3 linked regions of the Kluyveromyces lactis genome follow. The protein of the gene in region 3 interacts with the protein of the main gene of each other region in a biochemical or structural test. Links are inferred from orthologs where the notes say so. Each region holds a gene or a part of one and is shown on either strand. Other genes may lie near its edges. The genes, in order: TIM10, TIM9 and YME1.

The links.
Region 1: of the proteins of YME1 (region 3) and TIM10, one has a biochemical effect on the other in vitro, tested with the Saccharomyces cerevisiae proteins (2 studies listed by BioGRID, with this or other methods). The link is inferred for Kluyveromyces lactis from reciprocal best matches to the Saccharomyces cerevisiae genes YME1 and TIM10.
Region 2: the proteins of YME1 (region 3) and TIM9 form a complex in vitro, tested with the Saccharomyces cerevisiae proteins (2 studies listed by BioGRID, with this or other methods). The link is inferred for Kluyveromyces lactis from reciprocal best matches to the Saccharomyces cerevisiae genes YME1 and TIM9.

The regions. Positions count from the first base shown.
Region 1 is NC_006042.1:2,401,293-2,407,895, forward strand, and holds TIM10 (protein transporter TIM10), read left to right. Parts: upstream 1-3,156; coding exon 3,157-3,426; downstream 3,427-6,603. Other genes in the region: sister chromatid cohesion factor PDS5, read left to right, coding at 1-2; RCO1 (Rco1p), read right to left, coding at 171-2,042; SDD2 (Sdd2p), read left to right, coding at 2,324-2,725; cytochrome c1 heme lyase CYT2, read right to left, coding at 3,724-4,539; GPA1 (guanine nucleotide-binding protein subunit alpha), read left to right, coding at 5,305-6,603. UniProt on the Saccharomyces cerevisiae protein: Mitochondrial intermembrane chaperone that participates in the import and insertion of multi-pass transmembrane proteins into the mitochondrial inner membrane.
Region 2 is NC_006041.1:2,032,555-2,039,138, forward strand, and holds TIM9 (protein transporter TIM9), read left to right. Parts: upstream 1-3,562; coding exon 3,563-3,826; downstream 3,827-6,584. Other genes in the region: KLLA0_E22727g (uncharacterized protein), read left to right, coding at 1-400; KLLA0_E22749g (uncharacterized protein), read right to left, coding at 523-1,833; URA3 (orotidine-5'-phosphate decarboxylase), read left to right, coding at 2,441-3,244; ALF1 (Alf1p), read right to left, coding at 4,773-5,525; Sm-like protein LSM7, read left to right, coding at 5,727-5,738, 5,869-6,189. UniProt on the Saccharomyces cerevisiae protein: Mitochondrial intermembrane chaperone that participates in the import and insertion of multi-pass transmembrane proteins into the mitochondrial inner membrane.
Region 3 is NC_006041.1:606,300-615,118, reverse strand, and holds YME1 (i-AAA protease YME1), read left to right. Parts: upstream 1-5,622; coding exon 5,623-7,932; downstream 7,933-8,819. Other genes in the region: KLLA0_E06755g (sugar porter family MFS transporter), read left to right, coding at 175-2,178; condensin subunit BRN1, read left to right, coding at 2,877-5,195; TFIIH complex kinase subunit CCL1, read right to left, coding at 8,357-8,819. UniProt on the Saccharomyces cerevisiae protein: Catalytic subunit of the mitochondrial inner membrane i-AAA protease supercomplex required for mitochondrial inner membrane protein turnover. The protease is probably ATP-dependent. Important to maintain the integrity of the mitochondrial compartment.

The sequences.
Region 1 (6,603 bases), on a different chromosome or scaffold from region 3:
AAGTTACGAAATTCCATCATTACCTAGCTATATATCTGTCATAATTTATCTAAGGAAATGTTTTTTATCATATGTAGTTGTTTCTATATATAAGTCTTCAACTCGCCGATGAAGATGAAACATAAAATAACAAACAGCTCCATTGAATACGGGCATGCGTGAACCTTTAACTATTGAGTAAGTTTGAAAAATTCAAGAACTTCTTTTTTCGGTTTCGACTCTAAAAGCGTTTTCAACTTTTGAAGAATCGTTAACTCGGACTCATCTATGGGTTGAATTTTTGCCTTTTCCTTCAGCAATTGTTGTTCCGATATTTTACAGAGTTCCTTAAAGTCCCATAATCTTTTGAGGGTACCGGACGTTTGGAAGTATAAGAGGTTGGATATATCATTCAATATCGGGGTTTGATTTTCTGCTGCAACTAATTTGTCTAAAATCGTAGAATGCTGACACAAGTCTTCAAACTGCTGTACACGTTTCGCCTGATAAACCTTATCTAAAAACTCTAGTGCGACATTCTGTTCTGTAAGTTTTGATAAAGTCCAGGAGTCCGCATCTATTGCTATTTCTGTATCTCCGTTGTTTCTACTTCCTATTGGAAGTACTATATATTTCTGTTTTCCCCTTGCTAAACGTCTTTTGTATGATTTTGGTAATGGGGCATGCAACGGGCATTTCCACTTCGATCCCAGGTTTTTCAAGGATGCTCTAGGCAGTGGAAGACAATCTAAGTGCCATGGTGTTGAACAGTAATCGCAAGTCATTATCAGTCGTTGGGAGTCCGGATGGTCCCATGTTCCCATCTTTGATTCTCCACAATTATAGCACACTAAAAGTTCTCCAGAATCCTGGTTGAAATGATACTCTGGCTGATAAGAATCCATCCGTGTGACAGACTGCCCGTACGCGGAATGAAAAATTTGTTTTTCATTGATATTTTCTTTAAAGTGTTCGTCACGATATTCTCCTTGCGACCCCGAGGAGACCGAATCGAACGTTGATTTGATAATAGACGGCAATTGAAATTGGAACGGATTTTTCCTTTGAAGATCAAATGTTAGAGTACCGAATAACTGATACCCGGGTTGCTTGAAATGGTCTTGTAAAAACCTTGTTTTCAACTTTTTTTCAGAGGACAGTCCGTATTTATTAGACTTGATCCATTGCTTGAATCGGCATTCATCACAAGACCAATCACCTTCTGGTAGATGGCTTGGATCCAAAGGTGGGTTACAGCAAGCAAAATGGAAAGATTTTGGACAAGTGTCACAGCATAAGAACACCCCAGGACCATGACAGTTGGAACAAAAATCGTCATTTTCCTTGTTATTATCCGGATCAATTTCTGGAATATGTAAATGAGAAGCTTTATCATTTTGTCCAAATAACTTGGTATCTTTATCCTTGGTAGATTTCAACCTTTTCGCCATTTTTAGTGCTATCGATTTACTGGGCGAATTTCGTATAGGATCCTGTAGCATAAAATCCGAGTCAGCCTCTTGTTTAATTCCTGAATTTTTGTTGTGTTTAGTGGGAGTGTTCGCTCCTATGCGTTCATGACTTTGTACGGTCAATTCATTTGATTTTTCAGTTTGTAGTTGTCCCTCATATTTAGCCTCCATGCTGCTCTTTAATGCCTGTAATATATTGGATTTCTTCTTCTTATTGTTACCATTTCTGTGTTTACCACTTCTATTATTGCTATCATCATTGTCGTTATTATTGATGTTATTGGTACTATTATTATTGTTACTGTTGTTGTTACTCGATCCCTTCGGCTTCTGAGATAATGGCGTCCCTGTCATAGCATTTATTGGATCATGCACTGGCGGCTCCTGAAACGTTATATTTCCATTACTATCCTTAAGAATGACTGGTCCAATAGGTTCTGTCGATGGTTCTTGGGACGGTGATGAAGATATTGAGGATGTACTTTTCGTTGGATAATCATCACTTGGAATAATCCGTCTCTTTTTCAGATTATAATCCACATTGGCAGTACCTGACCGTTTGGGCCTCGTTACCTCCATATTTTTTGTCATGAAGCCGGAAAGTAGATGTACTGGCACGTAATTTTTTTAGCCGGTACTTTCCCCTACTCGTTGTTTCGCGTTGAACCATAATTTAATTCAATTGTTAGATGCGTTCAATTAAATTTGTATCGCACTTTTTTATTTTTTTTCTGTATTCCAATATCACGAACCTTCGATAGTTGAAGTCGTATACACATACCAGCTATATCAATGATAATGGAATCAAAATGTATATAGTTACGGGAACAGGCTGAGGCGTCACCAGTCACATTAAAATAATAGAAGCAACCATGGACGACGAATTGAGAGCCATTAGAGAGGCCAGATTGAGGGAATTGAAGCAACAAAGTGGAGGAACATCAGAATCAGCAAACAACGGATCGAATGATGGTCAAACACAAGCGATATTGAATCAGATTTTGGATTCCAATGCACAAGAAAGATTGAGCAGGGTAGCGTTGGTGCGGCCAGAACGTGTAAAGGCAGTAGAAGCTTATTTACTACAAATGGTGCGGTCCGGTGCTATTAGAAACAAATTAACAGAGCAGGACATCGTTGGAATCCTCGAATCAGTCGGAAGAGATGAGCAAAAGCGCAATACTACACGTATTATATTCGATAGAAGAGAAAAAGGAACAGCATCATCTAGTGTGGATCAAGATGACGATGAAGACGATGATTTCTTTGACTAGTTATCTGTCTTCAATATATCAGGTTTTAACAGAGAAAGAAAGTAAGATATACATGCATATATAATTACAACGAATGAGAACTCAATCCTCATAAGTACCAAATAATTGCAAGAATCGGTAGTTCCAAAGGTTCAATGACTACTATAGGTCAATGCTCCCTCTGTCAAATCAATACATGTCCAAATCACGTGCATGTGACCGGGTAACGTATATTTCCTCATATTTCTGAAAATTTTCAGTATAGCAACTATTCGTCAGGAATTGCAGTTCACTAAAATTTAACTAATAGCAGTTAAATGCGTTGACAACTAGACTGTTGTTTGATCTGTAAATATTTATTGACGTAGTTTATCGTAGTGATTAGTCTTCTATTCATAGCCACAGGAATACCACTCCTACAATAACAACATATAAAAATCATCTTCTAAGAAATGTTCGGTCTAGGCGGTCAACCTCAATTATCTTCTCAACAAAAGCTATCAGCAGCTGAAGCTGAACTAGATTTGGTTACTGACATGTTCAACAAGTTGGTCGACAACTGTCACAAGAAATGTATTGAACAAATTTATAACGATGGTCAACTAAACAAGAACGAATCTACTTGTATCGACAGATGTGTTGCCAAGTACTTTGAAACTAACGTTAAGGTTGGTGAAAACATGCAACAGCTAGGCCAAGCTTTCTCTCCAGGTAAATTCTAAACCCGATGAGGGAAGCTTAAGCCGGGACGTTAGTGCATAATCTTTTTCGCAACTTTTCACGTTTTATCATGTACATATATGACAAATTTTGTATATACAAATATATTATATATATATATTAATTATCTATTTACAGAGTTTTAAAAATGAGGTAATGTCGGAGTACCAAACGATTAGGTTTGTGTATCTCGATCAAACCGATAAATATAGAGATATAAATGTATTTGCTAATACCGTGATGTGTTTTTGTCCATTATCTTCCCTTAGGATTGAAAATTTGGACGATCCCTTCTGTCTTTAAAATCCTAGCATTTTCATAACGCGTAATTTACAACCTTCAAAAGTATTCACTTTTGGTCTAACGTCCAAATATATTGGAGGAAGGTGGTTCTTTTCAGGTTCTGGATTCGAATAGAAGTCGATGACATAATCTATTTGTTTCCCGCAGCGATCGACGACCCAATCGTGCCTATCAAAAGGTTTGGTCATTCCAAGGATTGAGGATCTAAACCATGCTCTTGGGGTTAACTTCTTTGAATCGCCTTTGAAACTAGTCAATTTGATGCCACCACAGACATCTCCCCCTTGTCCGTCTTCCCAAATTTTGATATAATTCCATACTCTTTCATTAACGGAATTGTGGATGGGAACAACGGCTTTCATATCCACAGCTTCGGGATCCCAATTTTTTCTCTTCATTGCCTCGAAGAATTGCTTCTCTGATGGATAAACCCAATTATCCGATGTTCCGGTTCTAGGAATGGAGGATTTCTCTCTCTCTGTTGGCAAATTAACAGCTGTGGTATATTTCGGGTGTTCAGGTATCTCATCACTTGAACATTCGACATCCTCAGTGATGATCGATATGATTGGTGCTGGTGCTGCTGCAACTGCAGCACCGCCAGCAGAGCCATTAACGGTCTGTAGATGGTTTTTCAGCCATACATCCTGGGAAGAATGGTCTACCGGACAAACTCCTGACCCTTCAGAACTAGCCGGTGGATGATTTGGAGGTAGTGCTTTTGCTGATTCATTCTTATTATTAGTGCTCTGTTGTTTCAACCACACTTCCTTCGTGGAGTCATCCACAGGACACTTAGGCTGTTCTGGCATTCTTTTGCACTCCACAGTTAGCTTCTAAACAGTCGCGAATCCCCTTTAAGCCGCCAACGATGTTGCTTCTATATTTCGAACTATTGCGTTCAAGCCTATCCTGATGAAATGCGCATGAATAAGCTTTCCTGTATTCGCATGTTCTGCATACTTTTCCATTTCATTCATTTCTTTTCAATTGATATCAAATTGATGAAGTTTCAGAATGAAATTGATATCCACGGGAGATGACATTTCATTACCCGAATGTGCGACAAACATCCTTGTTTCTCACGTGACTTGACCTCCAGATGGAGACAGCTCTCCGTTGTACATAGCAATCGATCTTGCAGCCACCGTTAACATATTGTGGTGCAGTAATTACCTGCAGAGCGACTTCAACCTAAATCTGAAACAGGGACGTTGCTAGGAATGTTTTTTAAAAGGAAGCAAACCCTTAAACAGTGTCAAGTGCTTGTTTGTTTTTTACTTGCTTGTTTTATTTTCCAATTGAGCTTGATTTTAGTTGTCGTCTCTGTGAGATTTCTAGGGTATCTGAGTTGAGGTTCTTGACTCAAAGCTTCATCATGTTTTGAGGTTCCTATGATAAAGGCTATGCAATGCTAAATCAGGAATGTAAAGTAAATATTGCTACGTTACCTTTTAATATTAACATATATATAGACGGATTGGCCACATCGTGCCAACTACGGCGAAAACGTGAACTATAAAGGAAAATGAAACAAATGAAAGAAACTGACGCTGGCCGGCAAGAAATTAAGCATTATGGGTTGCGTCGCAAGTACAGGAAACTATGAGAACGAGGATGATCCCTTCATTCAAAATAAAAGGGCAAATGATCTCATTGAGCAAAATTTACAGCAGGAAAGGAATAAGAATAAGAATGAGGTGAAGCTCCTTCTATTAGGAGCAGGAGAAAGCGGTAAATCAACAGTGTTGAAACAAATGAAACTCCTACACCAAGGCGGATTTACCCATAGAGAACGAATGCAATATGGACAAGTCATCTGGGCAGATGCAATTGAGTCGATGAGAACGCTAATCTTACAAGCAGGCAAGTTGGGCATCGAATTGGATAGTGATTTGAAAAATGCACATTCGGGGCAATTGGTGAATACGGAATTACACCAATGCAAAGAGAAGATCTTCCGTGCTAACACATTGGACCAGATTGATGCCAGAATGGCGGGTGGTTCAGAGTTCCTAAACGAGTATGTGTTGAAATATAATGGCATAGGATCTAAGAAGAAGAGGCAAACCACGCTTGGATTCAAGGAATCAAATGGTGCTGATCCTGAAGAAGAGGATGAGACAGACGCTTTCTTGAGTGAAAAATTAGCCGGGACAAGTTATACTGGTTCCTCGGAGACTTCAGAGTTGAAACGTATAGACCAAAGTACCAACGAAGAAATTGCCTATGCAATCAAAAAGCTTTGGACGCAGGACAAGGGGATCAGACAATGTTTCAATAGGTCAAGTGAATTTCAATTGGAAGGATCTGCATCGTATTATTTTGATAACATTGAAAAATTCGCTCGAGTTGATTATGTTTGTGATGACATGGACATTTTGAAAGGAAGAATTAAGACCACTGGGATCACCGAAAACAGTTTCAAGATTGGACCAAGCACGTTCAAAGTTTACGATGCTGGGGGACAACGAAGCGAGAGAAGAAAATGGATCCATTGTTTCGAAGGTATTACTGCTGTGGTATTTGTAATAGCAATTAGTGAATATGATCAAATGTTATTCGAAGATGAAAGGGTGAACCGTATGCACGAATCGATAGTATTATTAGATACACTATTGAATTCTAGATGGTTTGCCAACACACCTTTCATACTATTCTTAAACAAAGTAGATATTTTCCAAGAAAAGGTGAAGAGATCTCCAATCAGAACATGGTTCCCCAATTATCCAGGGAAACTGGGTGATAGCGAGACTGGACTGAAATATTTCGAATCATTATTCTTAAGCTTGAACAGAAGTAACAAGCCCATCTACGTACATCGAACTTGTGCAACCGATACACAATCAATGAGATTCGTTCTAGGTGCCGTGACA
Region 2 (6,584 bases), about 1.4 Mb from region 3:
TTTTCAATTACGTTCTTATGCTCTAAGCTCCCTCGAAAATCTACTTCTAAAACTGTTGGAGCCATTTGTTGATAATGTGATTTCAGTTATAGCCCTTATTGAAATGGGTTTATATCCGCTAACAAATGAAGTTGACGCTGATTCCAGAAAAGCGGTACCTTTGCAGAACTTCTTGTCGTTGTTATCAAAACTATATCTACATTACTTGTCTTTAGAGAAGACTGACAATGAAACTTATTTGAAAGTGTTGAGTATTTTTAATAAGCATGTCGATGACGGAAAGGTAGAAGAACAATTACAAGACATGATCACTAAGAAACGTGAAATTGAGAAGAAGCAAGGTACACCAAGCACAGATGCTGAGTCGGTGCCCGCTGAACCTACCCCAGTTTCAAAATAAACATTGTGTGTCCCGCACTATGATAAATTCCAAACGTCCATAATTGAACAGATGCATTAGAATGTTAATTAAACTGTCTTGTCTACTAATAAATATTTACAGATTTCATTTATAAATTTTTTTCATTGCAGTCGTTTATACTCCTCAGGAGAACGCAGTTGCGACCTCATATAATCAAGCAAAAGAAGACCGGCAGTAGTTCCAGGAATAATTGCCAAAGTATTCCTAGTAAAACCTTTATATAACCAAGCAATGGTTTCTCTCTTACTTCTCTTCATGAAAAAGAACACATGCTCGAATGTATCCAAGTATGAGTTGTAATAGATGTGAAACCTACTACTGCCTTTGGGTATCCTTATTTTCGTATTTGGAATATTTCCTATAGTTGTACTAGACGTTGATGGTAGATTTTTGAGATAAATATCGTACGCTTCAAGTCTAGAGACGTGGATTTTCTGTAGCTTTAGGAACGGGAATTGCACCGATTGAAGAACAAAAGCTGCTGTAACACCTCCAATAAAAATGAAAACTCTTGAATACCACATTTCCTCTTTAGGAGAAATTAACCTTGGTTTCTTCGTTTCAATCTTATTACCATCTTCATCGAAAAATATATCCGAGAGTCTTGTGTTCTGCACCGTATATTTTAGTTCCCTATAATTCTTGATAAAATCTAACATCAATTGGCGAATTGGTCCTCTGATCATTTCAAAAGTAGTGAAATACAATGCAAAGCCAAAGGATTCTCTTATGAATGATAATCCAAACCCACCAAAGCAGCCAATCAAACCAATCTCTCTGATCTTATCACGACTATAAAGCCATAGATTATCATATTTTTTTGCGCTGGATAAAAGTTCATCAATGTTTGCTCTTGTATAAATGGCATCTATTGGAGCTGAGACAATGGCTTGTGCAGCACCTGCAAGGAATCCTGCTCTTAAAAAATCAAACATATTATGTTGAAAAGCTTGATCTGTAGCCCTCAACGGAAAATTATTCAAAGTGGCTAAATAAGTAGTGTATAGCACAACTCCCGCCAGCGAATTGGCTACTAATGGCGGTAAAATTCTGTCAGGTATGACTTTCCAACCATATCTGTTCAATGCTTTAGTGACGATTCCGATTGAAGAGTTCTCCAAATAATAAGTATACTTTGGATTCCAAAACCGATACCTCGAACTTCGTACTTTTGTCTCGGACTGTGTATTATCGCTACCTGTAAGAAGTACTCGAATGTAATGAGTATAGTCAAATCTAGCTGGTCTGAACAATTTTAACGGAGTCCTCATGTAAAAAGATGTTAGTTGATACACCATAGATCTTCCACCAGCAGTAGCAGCACCCACAAGAGAAGAGGTTTGGTTTGATAATGAATTGACATTTGCTTTATCTGAAACATCTTCCAATCTCTTGTTGGCATCAGAAGACATCACTGTCTCTTCCCCTTAATGATCACTTGAACAAAACTCCGATAGGGTATAGTCAATATGTGAAACTGGACACTATATCAAAGCAAAAAGTAGTGTTGGATGCTAAATGGGATCGTTTTATTTAGGTTCTATCGAGGAGAAAAAGCGACAAGAAGAGATAGACCATGGATAAATGATTATGTTCTAAACACTCCTCAGAAGCTCATCGAACTGTCATCCTGCGTGAAGATTAAAATCCAACTTAGAAATTTCGAGCTTACGGAGACAATCATATGGGAGAAGCAATTGGAAGATAGAAAAAAGGTACTCGGTACATAAATATATGTGATTCTGGGTAGAAGATCGGTCTGCATTGGATGGTGGTAACGCATTTTTTTACACACATTACTTGCCTCGAGCATCAAATGGTGGTTATTCGTGGATCTATATCACGTGATTTGCTTAAGAATTGTCGTTCATGGTGACACTTTTAGCTTTGACATGATTAAGCTCATCTCAATTGATGTTATCTAAAGTCATTTCAACTATCTAAGATGTGGTTGTGATTGGGCCATTTTGTGAAAGCCAGTACGCCAGCGTCAATACACTCCCGTCAATTAGTTGCACCATGTCCACAAAATCATATACCAGTAGAGCTGAGACTCATGCAAGTCCGGTTGCATCGAAACTTTTACGTTTAATGGATGAAAAGAAGACCAATTTGTGTGCTTCTCTTGACGTTCGTTCGACTGATGAGCTATTGAAACTTGTTGAAACGTTGGGTCCATACATTTGCCTTTTGAAAACACACGTTGATATCTTGGATGATTTCAGTTATGAGGGTACTGTCGTTCCATTGAAAGCATTGGCAGAGAAATACAAGTTCTTGATATTTGAGGACAGAAAATTCGCCGATATCGGTAACACAGTCAAATTACAATATACATCGGGCGTTTACCGTATCGCAGAATGGTCTGATATCACCAACGCCCACGGGGTTACTGGTGCTGGTATTGTTGCTGGCTTGAAACAAGGTGCGCAAGAGGTCACCAAAGAACCAAGGGGATTATTGATGCTTGCTGAATTGTCTTCCAAGGGTTCTCTAGCACACGGTGAATATACTAAGGGTACCGTTGATATTGCAAAGAGTGATAAAGATTTCGTTATTGGGTTCATTGCTCAGAACGATATGGGAGGAAGAGAAGAAGGGTTTGATTGGCTAATCATGACCCCAGGTGTAGGTTTAGACGACAAAGGCGATGCATTGGGTCAGCAGTACAGAACCGTCGACGAAGTTGTAAGTGGTGGATCAGATATCATCATTGTTGGCAGAGGACTTTTCGCCAAGGGTAGAGATCCTAAGGTTGAAGGTGAAAGATACAGAAATGCTGGATGGGAAGCGTACCAAAAGAGAATCAGCGCTCCCCATTAATTATACAGGAAACTTAATAGAACAAATCACATATTTAATCTAATAGCCACCTGCATTGGCACGGTGCAACACTACTTCAACTTCATCTTACAAAAAGATCACGTGATCTGTTGTATTGAACTGAAAATTTTTTGTTTGCTTCTCTCTCTCTCTTTCATTATGTGAGATTTAAAAACCAGAAACTACATCATCGAAAAAGAGTTTTAAACCATTACAACCATTGCGATAAGCCCTCTCAAACTTCCTCCAGACTGTTTGTCATCCAATTGGTAAGATTAATTATCATATACCCCGGATAAGAAAAGAAGCAAGCACACAATGGATCAACTTAATGGTAAGGAACAACAAGAGTTCCAAAAAATCGTGGAACAAAAGCAAATGAAGGATTTCATGCGTCTATACTCCAACTTGGTCGAAAGATGTTTCAGCGACTGTGTCAACGACTTCACATCCGCTAAGCTTACTTCTAAGGAACAAAACTGTATAATGAGATGTTCAGAAAAGTTCTTGAAACACAGTGAACGTGTGGGTCAACGTTTCCAAGAGCAAAATGCTGCCATGAATCAAACCATGGGTCGTTAAAAGGTTTAAAGAAGAAATTCTCCCTACCAACCTCAAATTTTATTCTGTACATACTTCATTATATTATAACATTATATTATAACATTATATCATAACATTTTATCGTAGCTACTACGATTACCATAGATTTTAAGGACTATCTCTCCCATGTATATTCATTCTGTTTCTGTATATAGAAAGGTTTGCATTTCATTGCCATATGACTGGCCAAAAAAAGATGCTCCTCAGACACAAGGTAATCGGTATTGTGTTATCTGCGTAAGTTGCAGACTCCCTGCATTGCACTCAACTAGGCATTGTCGTAAATGACAAGCTAAACTGTCCGTCCGTTGTCCCTCCCATGTCACGTGGTCTCCATTAGAGAAGAACTGGCGACTTGATTTATTATAACAACGACAATAGGGCTCAAGCTGAAGTTCCATTAGAAACAACCTTCTCACGAAGCGAAAATCCCGTTAGGGATTTGCTTGATTATAACTCACCGGGGGTTTGAACCCTCGGCGAGCGGACAGCTGCGTTCCACCGAATTTCCCACCTGGAATGAGGAGAACAACTCCTCTGATCAAGTAGAACATTCAAATCACATGACCTCTTCTCAAAACACTTCAAAGTAACGAGCATCCACCTTATACTTAAGAGTGAATATTCTTTGAAGCGCTTCAAGGGCTTAGTATGAAGTTGAGAACAGGAAATGAATTGCCATATTTGATCTTTTTGTAACCAGGTTCATATGAACAGAGACTTTGTGTTCTGAGGAAGATTCGAACCGAAGTCGCAACGTGGCCTTTTTACCAGCTACGGCACAACACCCGACTCAAACCAATTACGAATTCATTCAGTAGTAGACCCTGTCACGTGTGTGTCAGGTGTCATTTCCGTAGTTCAGAGTATCATCCACGAGGCCAAGGACGAGAATATAATTAAACTTATGTAAATTATCAACTCCCTATAACTCATCATCTGTGAGCATCAATTCATCGTCAGCTAATGGCGTGAATTGAGGACCTACTTCAACAACGGCAGGTCTCACAAACCCGCCGTAATTCTTTTTTACTGGTCCGAAATACTTCGTTCCTTGGAATGTACCATTGTTCTTACCGTCAGGTTCGTCAAATTCAATTCCACACCATACATCTGTATTACTGATCTCTTGAACTTTTCCCACGTATCGTAACCATCCTCTTCTTTCGGGGACCTTGGTGGAATCGGTCGTTGTTTCCTCGTTGGACAGTACTCTGCATCTTTCTCCAACGTGTTTTTGTAATAGTTCTGCCTTATCGATATTCAGTTGTAGTTGTTCTTCCATCTTAGAGCGGTATTCAGGATTAAATTTCCCTAACTTGTTATCTTTTTTCCATTGTAATACAGAATCCCTTCTGTTCTCATAATCGTCCATGGTGTATCGGAACGAAACGTCATCGCTATTAGCATGTAGCAAATCATTTTTCAATTGGCTTGCTAAACTGTTTTCGTTGGTGTCTATCACTTTTATGGACTGGATTTTCTCTACTTTCTGGTCTTTGAGATCTTTCAAATACTTGCTGTTCTGTGCATTGCCATTTATCACCAATTTCATGTCTTGAACATCAACACCGGTCAATTCGTTCAATCTTTGGCCCAGATGGTCCCATGATGTACCAGGTTTCACAAAGATCTGAGTGTTAACCAAATCGGATATAATTTCCACGTCAGATGACATTATCGGTGCTGATATATCCTCTGTTTTATTTTGTCTTCGATGCTGTAAGTTCAATGTTTGTCGTTTTGTCCAGGCATGTTTGAACATCGAATTTTTCAATGTTCCGTAAACTTAAATGAAAAGTTAATTTGAAACCAGTAACACACTTTGACAATAACCCATTGAGCAAACAGCGCTACCCCACCCAACCAACTACTAATAATGAGCGAAGCAGTATGTTAACTACTATAATTAGGACGGCTTTCTAAAACTTCTTCAACTTTCTCAAAACAATGATCCATTCTACATTTTAAGTTCAAATTTACTAACAGTTAGAGAGTTTATACATTCCCCTTCTCTGCAGAGGCAATCACAACAACCGAGACAAGAGCAGAAGAAGAAGTTCGAAGGCCCAAAGCGTGAGTCTATCATAAATCTTGCACAATATAAGGACACAGAAGTACGTGTCAAGTTCATAGGGGGAAGACTGGTCACTGGAATCCTAAAGGGTTATGACGAGCTAATGAACTTGGTTCTTGACGAAACCGTCGAATATGCAAGAGACCCAGAAGATGAAACCATCATCCACAAGGACCAAGCCAAAAAAATTGGTTTGGTCGTCATAAGAGGAACAGCTCTACTTTCGCTATGTTCCCTCGAAGGTGCTGAGATCATCAATACCTAGTTAAGACCCAAAAAAAAAAAATTTCAAGCAACAGTGTACCATATATGTTCATTAATAGTGCTATATAACGTTCAGTGCTATATCAAACTCACACTATGAGCCCATATCCACATTTCTACCTGTATCTAATGAAATAAGTATCTCCAACGGAGATACTTTCCTAACCGGCTACATCTCACTTATCAAGACCTAATCTGCACAAATGTGCGTTCACGTGACTTATTGAATCTTTTTTCTAACATCAGCAAAGCTTTTTGGTTAAATTTCGACCAAAAAACCGTATCTCATCGCATCGACTGATTAGAGAGATATCTTGAATTCTTTAAACCGACTGCGTCCAGGTGTTCATTTATATATATGTGAGTATATATCTCTTGTGAGAGTTGTTCTTTTAA
Region 3 (8,819 bases):
ATAGTTTTGAGAGGGTTTATCCTCATATAGTTTTTGCATTATAAAGTTGTTTTGTTTTTCCTGAATTTGTCTTAGAAAAACTTGTACAAAGGCCATTAACCGATTTACGTGAAGAGGTCTTGAAGCAGAATATTATTGAACAGATAGAGAAAGATTGTTAGTATCAAAATAGTCATGGATAATAAAGAGGTTAAGAGTAGTCCTTCAGTTGAGGATGTTAACTCATCTACCAAGAAGAGTGCTGATCTGTCGAATGCAGAAGTGACCAGCTTTCATGAGGCAAAGAGGAAATCTGCCGGTGGTGGTGTTTTCGTTGCGATGAACGATGACAGTTCCATTTCTAGTATTGGTGAAGATCCAGAAGGAAGGGATCCGAATAGTGTGCAAGAAGAAAATATATTGGCTGAATATTCAGAAGAGCAGGTTATGAACATGGGACGTGCTTTTGCTAAGAAGTACGAGTTGCCAAATGATGATGATATTTTCGCTCGTGGTGCTGCTTTGGCCAGAAAACCAAACGAATACGACAGGTTAAATGTTCTAAAGGAAGATGAACGTATTGCTTGTTACGATGAAATTCATCATCCTTGGAGAGTCCCTCCAAAGTTGATTGCTATTATCGCTGCCAGTGCAATGGGTGCTGCCGTGCAAGGTATGGATGAAACTGTTATCAATGGTGCTAACTTGTTCTACCCTAAAGAATTGGGTTTAGGGTCAGGATCCAAGAGGGACGATTGGTTGGAAGGTCTTGTTAACGGTGCACCTTATCTATGTTGTGCTGGTGTCTCGTGTTGGGCTACCGATTGGTTGAACAATATGTTTGGTCGTAAAAAGGTTATTTTCATCACTTGTGCTATCTCTGCTATCACCTGTTTCTTACAAGCTTTCGGTCCAGCTGGTACTCCAGGGTGGCACTATTTGTTTGCCATGAGATTTTTGTTGGGTTTTGGTATCGGTCCTAAGAGTGCTACGACTTCCGTTTACTTGGCTGAATGTTCTACCAAAAAGTTACGTGGTATCATCTGTATGAACTGGCAAACTTTCACTGCTTTCGGTATCATGTGGGGTTACGTTTTCTCTTTGATCTTTTACAGAGTTGGAAGAGCTGGTATTGCCGGTGGGTTGAATTGGAGATTAATGTTAGCCAGTGCTATGATTCCTGCTATTTTAGTTTTAGTGCAAATCCCATTCTGTCCTGAATCTCCCCGTTGGTTAATGGGTAAAGGTCGTTACAAGGAAGCTTATGAATCCACCCTCCAGATTAGAAATCACAAGATCCTAGCTTGTCGTGATCTTTTCTATCAACACGTTTTGTTGATGGAAGAAAACTCTTTGGAAATGTCTTACTGGACTAGATTAAGGGAAATCTTCACTGTTAGAAGAAACAGAAACGCCTTGATTTGTGCCTTCATTTGTGCCTTCATGCAGCAATTCTGTGCAATTAATGTTATTGCGTACTATTCCTCTGCCATTTTCTTGCAATCAGGTTTCACTGAAATTTCTTCATTGTGTGCTTCCCTAGGCTTCGGTTTAATTAACTTCTTCTTTGCTATTCCTGCCTTCTTCATGATCGACAGATTTGGAAGAAGATTCCTTCTATTAAACACGTTCCCATGGTTGGCAGTATTCCTTTTGATTACAGGGTTTTCTTTCTGGATCGATGATACAGAAAAAAGAATCGGTGTTGTTTCGATGGGTATTTACGTATTCTCTGCCATTTACTCTTTCGGTTGTGGTGTGGTTCCATTCGTTATCGCTGGTGAAGTTTTCCCCTTGTACGTCCGTGCCATTGGTGCATCTCTTTTCACCATTGTCTTGTGGGGTTTCAACTTCATTCTATCTTTAACTTGGCCAAGTATGCTACGTGCCTTCGAGCCTCAAGGTGCCTTCGGTTTCTATGCTGCTTGGAACGTCATCGGTTGGTTCTTAGTCTACTTCTTCATGCCTGAAACAAAGCAATTGACTTTGGAAGAATTGGATGAAGTGTTTGATGTACCATTAAGGGTTAGAGCCAAGTATCAACTATTGGAATTGTGGCCTAACATTCAAGAAAACCTCCTAAGAAGAAAGAATGTTAAGAGACAACCACCACTCGATAAACACCACAGAATGGCCATCAAGGCTGCCGAATGGAACGAAAAGGCTGAGGCTGAAGAATTGGAAGTTACCGAGATCTAAAATCAACTCAACACTTAATATTTTTATGTCAGTAGAAATATTTTTTGGTAGAAATTAACCTCCTTTGCATGATAAAGCTAGCTCAAACTATCATCATGTCATCGCTTTTCACACTAATTGATAACTTATCAAGTAATAATATTGCGAATTAAAGAGAATTTGAACAGAATGCCTGGTGTATTTAAATTCACTCTAATTCCCCTTTGTCTTCCTCTGTTTAATAGCTTAACTGTTGAACTTTCAATTAAGTAGATATTTATCTAGCTAGTTAGTAATGTTTTAATGTGATATTTTAAATGTAAGAAACAAATTTTAAAGTTCTAGCTAATATCTTGACATGTTGAAATAAAAGTGAAGAAGTCATGTAGACCAGGAAGTGATTGCAAACATTAATGACTATACTTACCAAAAATCGAATCAGATGCATTAGATGTGATCATGGGAAACGCTTGAGATGCTCCTAAAGTGTTCAAACCAAGGCTTTATGCAGCTGCTTCTCACGTGGAAACTTAGTCACTAATCACGATTTGATGTTTACGTTTATTTGATGTTTTGTAAACATTGAAGGATCGGGACGCAGTATTCAGATCCATTTAAAGCTGTTCAGGAAAACAGAGGCAAGTCAGGAAACGGGATAATTGTGAGCATTATTCAGCTGCTTTATCAAAGCTACCTTGGTTAGGTTTTCAGGAGTAGCAATGACTACCCAATTACCGTATGACGATGATGACAACGGTCTTTTCACGAATAAGTCCACTATGATGGCTAACTTTGAAGAATGGATCAAAATGGCCACGGACAACAAAATCAACTCAAGAAACAGTTGGAATTTCGCATTAATTGACTATTTTCATGACTTGAACGTGTTGAAAGATGAGGAGGATAATATTAATTTCCAGAAGGCTTCGGCGACGTTAGACGGTTGTGTGAAAATCTACTCTCATAGAGTCGATTCCGTCGCTACTGAAACAGGGAAGTTACTAAGTGGATTGGCAGAACGGAAAGGGAGGCAAATTAGATCCAATACAAACGGAGAGAACGATGATGGAGATGAGGAAGATGATGACAGTCTAGAGGTAGATCCTTTAACTGGTCTGCCGATTGCCCGTGATGACCCAGAGACTCTCGCGAAAAAAAAAAGGACGTACAATAGAGTGTTAGAAACGACGTTAGTTGATTTTGAAAGTATACGACTGAAAGATTTAGCACAAAACCTAAGTATAGATCCGTTGTTCAAGAAGGCACTCGCCGATTTTGATGAGGGTGGTGCGAAGAGCTTACTTATAAACACGTTACATGTTGATGAAAAACTCCGAGTTGTTTTTGACGCAACAACGACTGAACCTGAACAAGAACAACCGCAACCATTGGCCTCTACTGAAAGTCAAGTTCAGGAAGAAAATAATGAAGTCAGCGAATCAGCAAAAGAGACCTCGGAGGTATTTGGCTTGGATTCAGAAAAGGGTTCAGCAAATGAGGAAAATGTAGAATCAACCCCAGATACATCAGTCACATTGCTAGAGGATGATATATTAGATCTCGGTGTCAAATTCTTAGATTTTAATACTATTGAAACCTCAATATTGTGTCCATCGATGGATCAGCTCCAAAGTGCAGTAGCGGATATTGGAAAAGCAAAGTCATTTGTTGAAGGAGTGAATGGCCAATCTGATAAATTCTTGACAGAAAAAGATCTAGAGACCCTTCCTGAACTCGATGCGGAGGCAGAGTTCAACTACGAAATGCCACCAGAGGATGGTGAGGATGTTGCTGTTGATGCAGGTTCTATGGACTACGTTGAGCCAGCGGATAACATTCACGAACCAGAAGAACAGCTGGCCCTATCAAATCAACAGAATATGTCACAAATAGATGACAAATCGTATGGCGATGCGAGCGTACTCGATCAAGAGTTACTATCTTACTTTGACGCAGCGATAGGTCAGAATTGGAGGGGTAGAGAACACTGGAAGGTACGAAACATCAAGGATAAACTTAGCAAGGAGTCTGTGGCCAAACCACAGCAGCCAACTGAAGCCGATGGGAATCATGAACCAGCAGTTGAAAAGAAGGTACCCAAAAAACAGTTTGAGATTGATTTCTTGGATCTGAATGATAACATTGAAGAAGAAATATTTGCAAATAAAAAGGGGTTCATTGATCTATCAGTGAAACAAAGAACAAATGATTCACATTTCTTACTACCGGACGACTATAAATTCACAACGGATAAAATCACAAGGCTCTTCATTAAGCCCGAGCAGAAGATGAGTTTCTTTTCACACAGGAGGATCAGTAAAGCCAGGTTACCTGGGTCCCTGAAATTTGATGATACCGAAATCAAAGAAGTGAGTAATATTCCGGAGATTGCAGACGAACGCTTTTGGGCTGAAAACTATCAACTGCATGAAAGGGAAGAAGAGCACAAGCAAGATGACACACAGATAGAAAGATCAACCAATCCATCGTTTGAAGAGGATAACGGCATTGACTTCAACCAAGCCTTCGAAGATGAAGATTTGGATATGGATACAAAAGAAGATTTCGTAAACACGCAAGGATTAGTTGCAAATAATAAAATGACCTACTCCAGAACCTCCAAAAAGGTAGATGTGAGAAAATTGAAGAATAATGTGTGGAAGTCAATATGGCAACGTTTACATGTACTGAAGACAGACGAACAAAATGGGGAAACTACTCGGAATGAGGAAACTACTCAGAATGATATCGAATCAGAAGCACATCTGACCGAAGAGAAGCAGGGAAAGCAGGATATATCAGCAGAAATATCAACAAAAGCAGAGGGCTATGACTTGAAATTCACCGATATCGCTCACGATATCGTGAACATGTACACTTCAAGTGCCAAAAAGGATCTCTCAACCAGTTTCTGCTTTATCTGCCTTCTTCACCTCGCTAATGAGTATGGATTTACGATTAACGACACTACAAACTACCAAGACTTGGACATTCGGTTCCCTGAAAAGATTGCAGACGCAATTATTGGCAAGGAGTAGCCGAACTATAGCCGACGTAATTATTTTGTTTGTATATAGAAGAGTATTGATCACGTGATGTTCGTCTAAAAAGACCTCGTTCCTTTTTATTTTTCTGGCACTTTCGAATCGGATTTCAGCTGTTACGTAGAGTTTCTCCCTAATGAAATGCAACGCCACCCGGACGAGCGTTCATCAGCTTCCAAGAATTTGTTGATAATGTTGAAATTTGAGTAAATTGAGCATTTGTCAAATTTAAAGGTTTTTATTTTCTTTAGAATGAGGATATATATGGCTATGATTATTCGGGTCATTTAGAAGGCAACGAAAGAGGCAAAAGGCTTTTAAGAATAGTGAACAAAGGAAGCAACGAAAAAGTTGTATATACCAGCTCAGGTACTTTGAAAAAATCACTTTTACGGTGTACTTATTAAGTGTTAAAGGCTAGATGACGCTTCCGGTGTTGATTGGTGTTTCTGGTTTGTGCGCCAAGAACGCTTCTCGAGTGTTGATTCGTCAAGCCCCTGTCTTGACAGGGCCAATTTTAAGGACTTTGCATAGAAAGCATTTTCTTACAGGCAGCGTGCTACAAAACAGATTATATTCGGACAAGAACCAAACAGGCAAGGATCATAATGGTGTTACAGGTTCTCAGCATTCGGAGGACTCGAAGAACACTGTAAATGGGGCAACAAGTGGTGCAGAAAATGTTCAGCAGCCCAAGCAACTAAACGGGATTAATTCGAGTGATATTGATCCGGCAAATGGACCTGTATCACACGCTGTTTTGGCTACTAAGGAACAGCAAGCTAATAAAGATTTGTCTAACCCAAGTGCGCAAGCGGAGTTCTATAAACTTCTCTTGAAATCGAACTATCCGCAATACGTTGTTTCGAGATTTGAAACTCCTGGTATTACTTCATCGCCTGAATGTATGGCTTTGTATATGGAAGCTTTACAAAGGATCGGTAGGCACGCTGATGCTGAGTCTGTGAGGCAGACTTTGTTGACGACTGCTCCAGCTGGAAGTATTCCTCCTGCCGTGGCTTCATCTGGTGCTTCTTCCGCTGCATCGGCTAACGGTGCTGCTGCCCAAGTTACTGGAGGTGTTTCATCTGGTTATTCTGGCATCTATAATCCGTACATGGGATCCAAAAAGGAACCTCTACATGTTGTTGTCACTGAATCCACATTCTCTATTGTTTCCAGATGGTTAAAATGGTTGATCGTATTTGGTGCAGTTACATACGGTTTGACTGAAGGTTTCAAATACATTACAGAACATTCAACCCTCTTCAAGACAAATGAAGTCGCCGATAAATCTGTGGATGTTGCAAAGACTAATGTAAGATTTGATGACGTGCGGGGTTGTGACGAAGCTAGAGCTGAATTGGAGGAAATTGTCGATTTCTTAAAAGATCCTACCAAATACGAATCCTTGGGTGGTAAGTTACCTAAAGGTGTTCTATTGACCGGACCTCCAGGTACTGGTAAGACTTTATTGGCAAGAGCCACCGCCGGTGAAGCTGGTGTTGACTTTTTCTTCATGTCAGGGTCAGAGTTTGACGAAGTTTATGTAGGTGTTGGTGCCAAGCGTATCAGAGAGTTGTTTGCACAGGCCCGCGCTCGTGCCCCTGCTATTATCTTTATCGATGAATTGGATGCTATTGGAGGTAAGCGTAATCCCAAAGATCAAGCTTACGCAAAACAAACTTTGAATCAATTGTTGGTTGAATTGGATGGGTTTTCCCAAACAAGCGGTATAATTATCATCGGTGCCACTAACTTCCCAGAATCATTGGATAAGGCTTTGACAAGACCAGGTAGATTCGATAAGGTCGTCAATGTTGACTTACCTGATGTTCGCGGGCGTGCTGACATTTTGAGACATCATATGAAGAAGGTTACTGTTGCTCCTGATGTGGACCCAACTATCATTGCAAGAGGAACCCCAGGTCTTTCTGGTGCTGAGTTGATGAATTTAGTTAACCAAGCCGCCGTATACGCTTGTCAGAAAAATGCTATTGCTGTCGATATGCAGCACTTTGAATGGGCAAAGGATAAAATCTTGATGGGTGCTGAAAGGAAAACTATGGTTCTCACTGAAGCTACTAAAAGAGCCACCGCTTATCATGAAGCCGGGCATGCATTGATGGCACTGTACACTGCCGGGGCAACGCCATTATACAAAGCAACTATCTTGCCAAGAGGCAGGGCATTAGGTATCACTTTCCAACTTCCTGAAATGGATAAGGTGGACATCACTAAGAAAGAATGTCTAGCTAGGTTAGATGTGTGCATGGGTGGTAAGATTGCAGAAGAACTGATTTATGGTAAGGAAAATACTACCAGTGGTTGTGGTTCGGATTTACAAAATGCTACCAACACTGCTAGAGCAATGGTTACTCAGTACGGTATGAGTGAACAAGTCGGACCAGTAAATTTGGCTGATAAGTGGGACTCATGGTCTGGAAAAATTCGTGACGTTGCTGATAACGAAGTACTTGAACTTTTGAAAGCTTCAGAAGATAGGACGAGAGCCTTATTAGCAGAAAGGGAAAAGGAATTGCATAGATTAGCTCAAGGATTAATGGAATACGAAACATTAGATAGTACCGAAATTCAGAAGGTATGCAAAGGAGAACCTATCAATAAAATGAAAATGGCCACTACTACGGTGGTTGAAGGACCAGACAGCGATGATCGTAAGGAAATCGGCGGTGATAAATCAAAAATTCCGGTACTGATTAAAGCATGATCAGACGCAGAACTAAAACGTCATTGGATACGGACTCCTAGCATTACACCATTGATTGAACATTTCACCGACCATCTTTCTGTATCTGCATTTGACCTGTTTGAAGAACCCCACTACAATGGTTATGTTGCAACTTGTACAGAATACCCAAATTGAGTGGTTAATTTTAAAAGTGTTATATGAAATTACAGATCATAGCATTTTCACATAATAAAGCATAAAAGCATTGACGTGTCTTGTAAATATAACATTGGCCGGCCTTCTTGAAGAAGCGGCAGTCACTACTTTACCCCTGTCGAAAGACTATAAATGAAGATAATAGTTCTCTTCGCAAGTATATATGCATATTTGTATAACAATTATTCGTATGAATGAATGAACTTTAGGAAGTTTTCATTGAGAACTCTACTTAACTTGTATACTACTACACTTTCAACTTTTTAGAATCCGGTTCCGTTGTAAGCTCAGCGGAGCTATCACGTTGTTGCTTTTGTCTGCGCATCCTATCTACCAGCAGCATTGGATTTTGGCAGTAATGCAATTTTGCGTCAATTTTAGTTGCCTCTTCTTTGGAAAGTGTTTCAACGTTCAAAATCATCGCCTGACACTCTCGTATTAGCGCTGTTAAAGTTTGCAATTTTAAATTAGATGGTAATTTGGTATCTGATGGTGTTTCTTCCGTTTTCAAGCCTTCCGTTTCCGAGTCCTTTTGCTCCTCAGGAGGGCTCCCAAACTTCACTTCCAAGTATTTTAGCGTTAACGCTTCATCATCTATCAACAAGCATGCAAGTGTAATTTGCGGTGGGGTGTAATGATATACTACATCTGTGAGAAGAGTTTCGGTTATTCTTCTCTTGCAATTTGTGTAGATCTGGCCCATATAATTT